Linked DNA regions of Bombyx mori. The protein of the gene in region 3 binds, or shares a complex with, the protein of the main gene of each other region. Links are inferred from orthologs where the notes say so. Each region holds a gene or a part of one and is shown on either strand. Other genes may lie near its edges.

Region 1 (3,589 bases), on a different chromosome or scaffold from region 3:
AAGCATAAAAATGGGATTGTTCTGAAAATGAAACATTTTTACAATATCACATAAAATATCTTGCATTTTTACATGACTTTGTATTGTAACTAAAGTGTTATAGATATATGTAAAAAATTGCACAACGAATTTTATTTCATTATTTCTACCTATTAAATAACTCTTATAATTTGTGTACGAAAACCTAGTTATATTTCATATAGCAGTGGGAAGATATTATACTGTGAGAGCACATTTACTTAATTGATTGTCTGTATGTTAAAACTTATAATTTACTCCAACTTCAAATGACGTTTGTGGAGAATAATCAGTGATAGGCAACAGCCTGTCTTGTGTTCCTGGCGGTGCGTCCAAGAGCGACGGTAGCCACTCGCCAGCAGATGGGCTGTATGCTCAACTGTCTACACATCTTGAATTTGTCATTAATGCAATTATGTTTGGATATTTGATAAAAAATATGTACCTACACTGTGAATATCAACCGGAACAATCAAAGACACTGCTGCCTAACGTCAGTTAATGGTGTGTTTGGGAATGCAGTTTGTATTCTGTCCATAAAACATATTATTTGTGGAATAACAATGGGAAAAGTTTAAATAAAATACCATAATTTCAACAATTTTTTTTTTTTACTTTGTATTGTAAATTATGTGCATCTGATTTCACTGACACCTAAATCTGGAATTATGAGATATCTAAGACTATTATTACCTATTTATAAAATATTGTTTTTTGCCAGGCATTCAAAAAAGGTTTGTTGAGAGTACTTAATAGTAAGCAAGAGCTTCTACATACAAGGGTAATAAAAAAAGAATTTTTGTAAAAATAAATTGTTACTTCGCATACTTTCGTGCAGAAATACATAAAACTTCAGAAATGTCAGAGAAGGCTAAAAAGACTTGCAAATGGGTAGGTTACATGCTCTACCCATTTAGAAATTAAACATGTTACATACCAAATTCATTAAGAACAACAAGTGCAGCTAACCATTTCATTTAATTTGGTTAATGTAAAGAAAACTGCCAGGTCTGAGTTTACGTATTATAATAGCAAACAATCTAATGAAAGTCTTATGGTGAAGGTGGTGGAGAATGTTGTTTTGCATTAGCTGCAAGTATTGCTCCAGGTGCTGGATAGGGCCTCATTTGATAGAGTGAACCAGAGGCTGTGGTATCTACACCTGTTTTAGAATGTGTATCTAAACCTGATGTCCAATTACCTCTAGGTACATCAGAGTAAGATGCTGGGTCCATTGGATCCAAGTCATTATCTTTGACCCTGAGCCTTTTTTTGTCTCTATGATGTGAATGTTCCTTTTCTCTTTCTCGGCGATCAGGTTTCTTATCTTTTTGAATCTGCGGAACTTCCTGATCCGAGGCCTCACTGCTTTCATCACTTTCGTCGCCTTCTTTCATCAGACGTTCTTCGCGCAATTGTGCGGCAGATTCCGTAGGCACAGCACGGGGATGTCCGGGTGGTATCCACGAAACCAGATTAGTGTGCACATTCCAAAAATAATGTTGACCATAACCTTCATCAAACACTTCTTCCCATCCTGGTGGCAAGGGCCATAGCTCTAAAACTTTCTCCTTGTGTTCTAAATATGTCTCAGTCGGTACCAGTTTACCTTGCTTCCATCTTTTAATACAAAAAGTAGAACATTCATGATAAATATTACTTTTATTAGGGCATCCTCGATGGCCTTTGACAGGATCGACAAAGCCTTCCCAAGGCTCATCTTTTCCATTTTCGTTAGGCTTACTATCATAATCTTCTGCAATTATTTCTTCGTTGATTTGACCAACAGATGCGACAGCGGTGGAATCTGCATTTTGTTTCAAAAGACCTCTTTTAGCTAAACGAGCAGCTAACGCCGGCGGTAAAGGCATTTCGCTGTGTTGTATATCTTGCCTAGCGTTGATATTTCTTTGGTCGTTTTTGAGTGTTCGCTGATTTTATTCCCGTTATAACGTAATGAAAACTAGGTAAAATCACTCTTAATTCACATAATTATACATCTACAACAACAACAGGAACTTGGTAGTAGTAGCAGTTCTATTTTTCCAACTGGAAAGGCAAAGGTATCATAACCATATATCCTAATCTTTTATCACTACATAGTATAAAATAAAGTCACTTTTTCTGTCCCTATGTATGTTTAAATCTTTAAAACTACGCAACGGATTTTAATGCGGTTTTTTTAATAGATAGAGTGATTGAAGAAGAAAGTTTATATGTATAATAACATCCATTAAATAGTGGAGATATCAATAATAAATTATAGTTTCCGAAGCGAAGCGAGGGCGGGTCGCTAGTATATTTTATAATGAAAAATGATAATATGGAGGCAAAATGAAAGGAAGTCGATTAATTTGGAACACTCATCACTTGGCATGAAATTAAATAAAATGAGATATGGGATGAAATTTAATATCGGTAAAATGGTGTTTATTTAATGACTTTTAGTGGACTTTCTGGAGAATCCCGAGAAGCTACAACATGAACTTGGTTTCATTGTGGTTTCATTTCAAATTTATTTTTAATTGTACAATGGTACAGGCCAAAGAAACAGCTCATACAGTTTAAGTACTTTGTTGTAGAAGGTCAAAACACTTAATCTAAAGGAAAAGTGACATGAATGTTAATAAGAACTAAGCCTATAGCGTTAACTCTTTCCTTCTTTAGAGTTCAAAAAGCTTTCACAAAAAGTAAAATTGACAGCATTATTCAATCACATTACTCTGATACCTCTGCAAAAATGATTCAATCTAGGTTATTGTCATTATAATTCAACTAGTTTCTTAGTTGAGAACAATATGATGACCTCGAGCAGGGAAAGATGGCAGGTCATCGCAAACGTATACATCAAATCTGCCCTCCCCAATACTATTTAACGATTACGAGTAAAGCATATTTTATATCCGTTTGGGAATGTTATTCTAACCGTGTATCTGTATACCTAATATATTATACTGTTTCTGGATGTTTCTGAAAAACAAATTAATTACATCACTTAAGTAACCCGCAATTGGTCAAAGGTTGAAATTCACATCAGGTATTTTTTTAATTCCTTGTACTTCATGCAAATCTTCATCTATTCCAATCCCAAATCTTTCCCAAGTCCCTGACTCACGATACGACTGAGAATTACCAGTTTCTGTCGCAAAAAATTTTTAACGGTGGCGGTCTGACAAGGCAGTTATACCAATGCAACAAACACTTCGAAGTTTTTTTAATTTATTGCTTAGTTGGGTGGACGAGCTCACAGCCCACCTGGTGTTAAGTGGTTACTGGAGCCCATAGACACCTACAACGTAAATGCGCCACCCACCTTTAGATATGAGTTTTAAGGTCTCAGTATAGTTACAACGGCTGCCCCACCCTTCAAACCGAAACGCTGCATCACGGCAGAAATAGGCAGGATGGTGGTACCTACCCAGGCGGACTCACAAGAGATCCTACCACCAGTAATTACGCAAATTATAATTTTGCTGGTTTGATTTTTATTACACGATGTTATTCCTACACCGTTGAAGTCAATCGTGAACATTTGTTGAGTACGTATTTCATTAGAAAAATTGGTACCCGC
Region 2 (3,712 bases), on a different chromosome or scaffold from region 3:
CTTTTTTCGCGCACATTAACTAAATGACTATATAGACTATATAGAACTAAAAATATTGCCGCAGCCGCGATCTCCTCGATTTCCATCATCGATACCTAGACGTCTTAACATATCAGTAGACAGTCAGTAAATAAACGTTCACGATTGTGTGGAGAGTTGCCCCATCATGGCGGCGATGATGGACGATTGTTTGTTGGCCTATCATGGCCGATTGTGAAGAGGAGCCATTAAATATAATCTATTGAGTTCCATCGTCGAGTTTCACTACGACCGGCCTCTCGTCTTCATCGTCAGCGTCTAGACCAGTGAAATCCCATTGCAATTTGTCGGTCAGGTTATCTTTGAAGCGTTCAATCATCGTCAAAAGTCTGCCGTCGACTTTGCTTACGTAAGCCGTGCGGAAAAACTCACGGAGTTTCTTGTATACTAAATTTTTATTCATCACTATATCGGCTAAGAAATCTTCGGGCATCTCTTCGATTTGCACCTCAATAGTCCTAATGAAGTGAAAGAAAACACTTCTGTATTTGTGTATGGCCTCGTCACACGAACATATGAGTATGACGAGGCTCTTCCAGTGCTCAAAAGCCTCTAGGGAGTGCCCAATCAAAAAGCACAAATATGCGAATTGCAGTTCTCCTATGATGTGTAGAGGTCTGAAAAATAAAACACGTATATAGAATTCTAGATTTTGGCTTTTGTGCATTTAATCATGTCAAGAGTCGAGACTTGACTTTAGCTTCCTGATAACTTCGGCACTGAACAATGCTTAAAATATCCATCATAGACATTCAACTGTATATGTAATCAACATATGAATGTAGTATGTAGTCAACAAAATTTTATATTAAGATACCCTCAAATTTCTCTTAAAATACTAACAGTTAATAAAAATAGATACTTACTCATTATGCTGTGCTATCATGAGCTCTAATGAGTATGACTGATCTAAGTAATGTTTCGTGATCTCCTCTGGTGTTGCATCCGGTGGATATTTATCTTGAGGTATTTCTGTGAATCTCATAGCAGCTCCTGTAAAGATTCACATTTTAGAATTCTTTTATTTTTTTTTATATTTTTTATTGCTTACATGGGTGGACAGACGACAGGCTCACGGCCCACATGGTGTTAAGTGGTTACTGGAGCACATAGGCATATACAACATAAATGCCGCCACCCACCTTGAGATATAAGTTCTAAGGTATAGTCAAACCGAAACACATTACTGCTTCACGGCAGAAATATGCAGGCTGGTGATAACCTATCCATGCAGCCTCACAGGTCCTACAATCAGTAATTAATTAGGCGTGTAGTTTTATTTTAGTAGATATATAGGGGAAAAATATTATTTACATTTATCTTTGTTTCATTAATTTACCTGGAACTGGTTTCAAATCTGGTAACAATGACTTTTCTTTCTCTTCCCTTGTGATTCTTTTAGCTCTCTTAGCACTTGAGTGTCCGGCAATCTGTTCTTCACTGAAATCCTCTTTAGTGGGAGATTTTTCATTCTCCTGACTTATTGAACTAGATGAAGACTTGACTCCTCTTGGTCTTTCTGCATCAGTCATCGATAAAAGCTCAACTGATGCTCTTATCATTCCACTTTCTGGTGCCAATTTTGCTGCTAGTTCAGCTGACAATAGAAATTAAACTTAGTACAGATTATTGATATAAGATTCTGGAATAACACAATATTTTAGTTTCTTGTATGAATTGTTTTTTCTGATACAAGCCTAAGTTTACGGGGCTCAAACCAGGAGTGTTGCTAACACTGCCTCTAGCAATAGCAGTGCTTCGCAGAATCTACCACCGTATCGGAAACGCAACCCCCTGAGAAGATCCGGTGAGAAACTCAGTAGACTGTGTCTATGGGTTAATTTTACTCATTAAGCCCTTCATCACAAGCGACGGGTTCGGCGAGGACAGTGACCAGTCTCAATATGCTCCACTATGCCAATATGACCAGGCTCATAATGTGAACTACCACCAACTTCAACAAGACTAAGTTCATTCAAGATTTGTAGGGCAAGTATTTCTTTAATTGAAGACACCAACCAGTGATCTGTGAAGACAGTAACTTCCACTTCTGCCATATTTCATATGGATATGGAGCAAGATGTCGGTCCAAATTAAATAAATTATCTTTCAAACGTTGGATGCTCTCATCACTGATCTCTTCCTTGCTCAAATCTTCAGTTTTTTTGTCCCACATTTTCACAAGAAATTCTTTTTTGTGAAAGTAATGCATGAAGCCAGATCTGGAATTTAATCAAGAAAAGTAATTTATTTAGGTATGCAAGTAACAATAATATTGATATCAGTCTCATATAAGTTCAATAACAATACACGAAGAAACTTAATAAGCTGTATACATATATTTTGTGCTTCGAATATGTAAATTCTGAGTGTAAATCTGATATCGAATTACCATATTAAAATTAAGTGATAAGATTCCAAAAACAACCTCCAAACTTGAATTCCTTGTATAGTACTAGGATTGTTTTTTTAAAGTATATATAAAACGCACTTACCTAGGTGCAATATCGCCAGTACCTTTACTGACAGCAGAGTAATGAACATAATGTAAGCCTGGAGGAATCATTTTAACGCCACGAAAATCTTCCTCCGTGTTCCAGCACTGCATATCGATGCCAAACTGGGTTTCTGAAGGGACTCTCAAGAATACAAACGTGCCCCCTTCCACTAGCAGCTTTTTCGCTGTTTCTTGATCCATATCCAACTATGCTCCCGAAACAATGAAATATGAATTAATGGTATGATAAAAATACATACAATCAATCAATCAATGTGTTTACATTCGTGAGTGTCAAACGTCAATGTCAAAATCTCGACGCGTGCCGATTTGAATGTTTCTGAACGTGAAAGGTAGGTACAATGCAGACTGAAGTGAATAGATTTTTTAATAATTTTCTTAGGTTTGAAATAATGTTTTTGTTCTCAACTATGTAAAACAATGTTTTAAACATTAAAAGCACCATAACCCAATACGATTGTATTTAACAGTAACTAAGTGTCTGTCTGTTATCGAACTAACCCCTGTATAATATATATTGTGTGCGTCTTATTTGTTTTAGGTAAATCAACAGAGATCCTGTCATCAAATATTCTTAGCTACTCACTTAATTCTTAGTGAATATCTGTGACCTTGCTCGTTCACGAAGCCCGCTATAGAAAGCAGAGTATTAAATACACTTGACATTGGCGAAATCTAAAAGGAAACGCCATAAGCCTAAGAGATAGATAGATAGATAGATAACTAAGTGATGTGTCCTTCACTTGTTCTATTTGTTTATTTTTTCAGCATGGCTACCTACGACTATCTTTATAACTCAATTCATTTGAAAAACTAAGTTTATAAATATATCATGTTTAATTTTCGGCATATTATTATTAAGTTAATTAATTTGTTATTTTAAATCTGTCTGCTATCTTAGGATTTGTTTTTCTACATGAGCACAGAATCACGCTTTTTATAAAGTAATTTCTCTAAAACATAAGACAGGAGGGTAGGTACATTAATTTATATTTCTGTAACGCTTAACGGAGCTACTCATAATAGAACAGAGAATAAGTCAGCAGAGCGTATATGAAAAACTTCGACGAAACTCAAATTTGATGAAATATATTGATCGTACGGACTTCTGAGACTCCCACCTCACCACTCGAATCTTAAAACGGAAGCGCATCT
Region 3 (3,759 bases):
AAAAAAAGGATCTACATCAGCATAAAACTTGTCATTTATTCTACTTTTACTTTGTTTAATATCAGGAAGAACAGCATAATTCCAAAAACACATGAGTTATAATGTAATATGTATAGTTCTTATTTTTATATAAAAAAAGTTACATTACTAAATTTATGATGACTATGATGTCAGATATGATTACAAATTACTAGACCATTCAGGTGGAACATTATTTTAAATTAAACTAATATCTGTATTTGGTAGAGTAATCTTTCGGTGAGACAACAAGACCTCGTCCTTTTCTTGCCCCTCTGTACACAGTTTCAATAATATCAATCATCTCCTGCTTGTCTTCGAGAGGCCAGTTGATTTTATTGTTGTTGCCAGTCCCCAAGTCAATCATTATGTGTTTGTTGCGGAAGAAGAACATCACTGTGCATGGATCGTATAATTCATACCTAGAAATAAGTTTAAATAATATTATTATAGGCCTTGCTTAGTCATTTTATATACTAGACCCTTTCTACTAGACTAGAACTTTCAACCTTTTTTACTTAATGATGTATTAACATACTCTATATATACATGACACCCTTAAATGCAAAGATTTATAGTTGGGAGTGATGGTTGTTGGTATTTACATCACTCATATGTAATACTGTTGTATGGTTAATATTTAATAAACAATTGTATATTTAACCAACATGTATCCCTGAGATGCAATTTCCCAGATCACCTTAAATAAAAATTGAAATATCGTATTTCTAATTTTCACAACACACTTGACTTGCAACATTCCAGTGATCAAGAACTGCTGTTCTACTCTAGTCTTAAAATCAACAATTTGAAAAAAATTATTAACAATGTAGATAATGAAATTCATTTACTGTATGAACCAGACTTATTAAGAATTCCTAGAAAACTCATAGTTCTTTGCTTCTTCACTTATGATACTTTTTTAATAATTAATAAAACAACAAATTTAATAATACAACATAATTTCCTTAAAACACTGGAGGTAGGAGGACTTGTGTATTCCACAAAGGTTTTAAGAAAACCTATCAAAATCTTAATTTCAGAAATAAATTTAGAACAAGTAGTTTTACGGTATACTTACATTTTATTAAAATCTGGAACTTCTGTAATGTCAACTAAATATATGACAGCAAAATTTTTTACTTTTTCCGCAATGCTGTATAATACTTCATCCATTTTCATACATGTTGGGTCCCAGTCGTGTCCAAACCTTATAACCTAGATATGTAAATTAGAATTAATTACATTTAATATAGTTGAATCATAGGGCAAGACAATTAGGCCACTAATTAAATAACTATTAACTGTTTTGGCTCAAAGCATTTTGTTAGTTCCTTTAATTCAAAATCTATTGTTTTTTATACTAGAAGGTTGAAGGTCTTGGTTTCTACTGCATTTATATACTTTAACAAATACCTATTGATGTAAGGTTAGAATATAATTATTATTTTTAGTCTTCAGATACTAAATCTCAGATTTCTACATTCTATGAATCTAGTTAAAACTCACCACTACACGGTCTTCTTCTGATAGAATGGCCTGATCTACTTGCCAACCATTGTGTAGATGTCCTAGCATATAACTCATTTTGCAAATAAACTACTTTACGTATTATTTCAAACAAACGATTATTCCTGTATTCTTTTTTCTGGAAATTGCTATTGCTATGAGCAAAATATAATCGTGTTGTAGGACCACTGAACAAATATTGATATTATTTTGCTCACTGAAATTTGCCTTTCACATCTAAGACATTCCAAAGTTATTTTATTCTCACATTTTGTTTCTCGTCACTGTTCACGTTTTCTATAGAAGTGTGTTCAAAAAGTTTAGAGCAGGCGTTGTCTTTTTTGTTACTTCATAACAAAAAGAATGTTCTGTGAAATAGAGAACTTTAAATTTATAATTATTTAATAATATGTAGGTATTAAGATATGACTATTCTATGAGTAAATTTACAAACACTGACTTTTACCAGGTCATAAAATACCTTAAAAAAAATCACAGACCACAGTATGACGTATGACAGTAGCAGTTCCATTTTCCAACAAGAAAGGCGGAGGTATCAGTCCATACAGCGTAATCTTTCATGGAATTATTCTGTTATTTATATCAATTTAATATGAAGTTAATAATGATATGGATGAAATGAGGTGAAGTTTATTTATTTGAGGCTTTAATGTTAATCATATATTTTATCGTTACAACTCTTATAGGTACAACAAGGTATTTAAATTAAATTATATAGGTATAGGATATAGGTTATAGGATTTAAATTAAATAAAATTAATAATTTTGTGCAGCGACCGGCGCGGCGCGTGCGCGTTATTCAATTTTTCTTTATCGACCCTCCGTATTTTTACGAATCCTGCGAGGCGTCGCGGCGTCGGTCGCACGGCGTTGTTCGACACTTTAGGGTTCCGCTTAGCGTGCGGGTGTTGTAACGTAATGTTACAACTGAAATCGTCTGCAAAATAAAAAAAGAAAATAAAAAAAACCTTAAAACAAAAGTATTTATGTTCAAAGCAGTTATTTTATCGATTGTACCGCTGAGGTGACAACAATAGTTCCCACCTCCCCCCGAGACGTAGGTTCGGCTGGCGCAGACACTGCGCAGCCGCTGCGCCGGCAGTCGTCACTAGAATCGACATCAACCCCACGAAAAGCACAGCGGTGCTCTTCAAAAGGGGTCGCCCTCCGAACACCACGCTGAGCATCCCCCTCCCGACTAGGCGCGTCAACACCTCCGCCCCCGCCATTCGCCCAATCACGATGTTCGACCAGCCCATACCGTGGGCCCCGAAGGTCAAATATTTAGGCGTCACCCTCGACAGTAGGATGACATTCCGCCCTCACATCAAGACGGTACGCGACCGTGCCGCCTTCATTCTAGGACGTCTCTACCCGATGATATGTAGGCGAAGTAAAATGTCCCTTAGAAATAAGGTGACACTCTACAAAATTTGCATACGCCCCGTCATGACCTATGCAAGTGTAGTGTTCGCTCACGCGGCCCGCACTCACTTAAAATCGTTCCACATTATTCAATCCCGTTTTTGCAGGATAGCCGTCGGAGCCCCGTGGTTCGTCAGGAACGTCGACCTCCATGACGACCTGGACTTAGAGTCCATCAGTAAGTATCTACAGTCGGCGTCGATGCGCCACTTCGATAAAGCGGCACGACACGAGAACCCTCTCATCGTGGCCGCCGGTAACTACATTCCCGATCCTGCGGACAGAATGGAAAGCAGTCGACGTCGCCCAAAACACGTCATCTCGGATCCTCCCGATCCACTAACGGTGCTTCTAGGTACTTCAAGTACCGGTCACCGTTCTCGTCGAACCCGTCGCTTGCGACGAAGGGCTCGACGAGTAAATTAACTCTCAGACACAGCCCACTGAGTTTCTCGCCGGATCTTCTCAGTGGGTCGCGTTTCCGATCCGGTGGTAGATTCTGCGAAGCACGGGTCTTGCTAGGGTTCGTGTTAGCAACGTCATCAGGTTTGAGCCCCGCGAGCTCAACTACAAAAGTTAGGGTTACGCTGAAATAGCCTCTCAAGGCTCTCAGCGTAGGTAGAAAAAAAAAGTGTGTGTGTCCGCTCCGACGCACGACTGGAGTTTACTGGATATAAATATAAATTTGTGTCAGTTGAATACAGTAAAATATGGAAGTTACGTATTCTAGTGAGAATGATCCGGGAGTTGCGGAACACGTGGATGCGGTAATTAAGTAAGTCTATA

What was found.
Region 1: the proteins of thioredoxin-like protein 4A (region 3) and polyglutamine-binding protein 1 are in contact, whole or in part, in a crystal structure (PDB 4BWQ), measured with the Homo sapiens proteins. The link is inferred for Bombyx mori from reciprocal best matches to the Homo sapiens genes TXNL4A and PQBP1. Residues at the interface, in NP_006692.1 of Homo sapiens: Gly11, Trp12, Val14, Asp15, Ile18, Asp68, Phe69, Met72, Tyr73, Glu74, Met82, Phe84, Asn87, His89, Met91, Gly97, Asn98, Asn99, Asn100, Lys101, Leu129; in NP_001027553.1 of Homo sapiens: Gln241, Gln242, Arg243, Pro244, Tyr245, Pro246, Ser247, Pro248, Gly249, Val251, Leu252, Ala254, Asn255.
Region 2: thioredoxin-like protein 4A (region 3) and protein AAR2 homolog share a complex: the UniProt entries of both Homo sapiens proteins name them as parts of the U5 snRNP complex. The link is inferred for Bombyx mori from reciprocal best matches to the Homo sapiens genes TXNL4A and AAR2.

Annotation. Positions count from the first base shown.
Region 1 is NC_085131.1:6,063,916-6,067,504, forward strand, and holds polyglutamine-binding protein 1, read right to left. Parts: upstream 2,169-3,589; 5' UTR 1,890-2,168; coding exon 1,071-1,889; 3' UTR 611-1,070; downstream 1-610. UniProt on the Homo sapiens protein: Intrinsically disordered protein that acts as a scaffold, and which is involved in different processes, such as pre-mRNA splicing, transcription regulation, innate immunity and neuron development.
Region 2 is NC_085115.1:3,919,437-3,923,148, forward strand, and holds the start of protein AAR2 homolog, read right to left. Parts: upstream 2,841-3,712; 5' UTR 2,738-2,840; coding exon 2,535-2,737; intron 2,262-2,534; coding exon 2,059-2,261; intron 1,637-2,058; coding exon 1,379-1,636; intron 1,033-1,378; coding exon 906-1,032; intron 657-905; coding exon 239-656; 3' UTR 1-238. UniProt on the Homo sapiens protein: Component of the U5 snRNP complex that is required for spliceosome assembly and for pre-mRNA splicing.
Region 3 is NC_085120.1:13,294,641-13,298,399, forward strand, and holds thioredoxin-like protein 4A, read right to left. Parts: upstream 2,416-3,759; 5' UTR 1,606-2,415; coding exon 1,528-1,605; intron 1,237-1,527; coding exon 1,100-1,236; intron 441-1,099; coding exon 227-440; 3' UTR 17-226; downstream 1-16. UniProt on the Homo sapiens protein: Plays a role in pre-mRNA splicing as component of the U5 snRNP and U4/U6-U5 tri-snRNP complexes that are involved in spliceosome assembly, and as component of the precatalytic spliceosome (spliceosome B complex).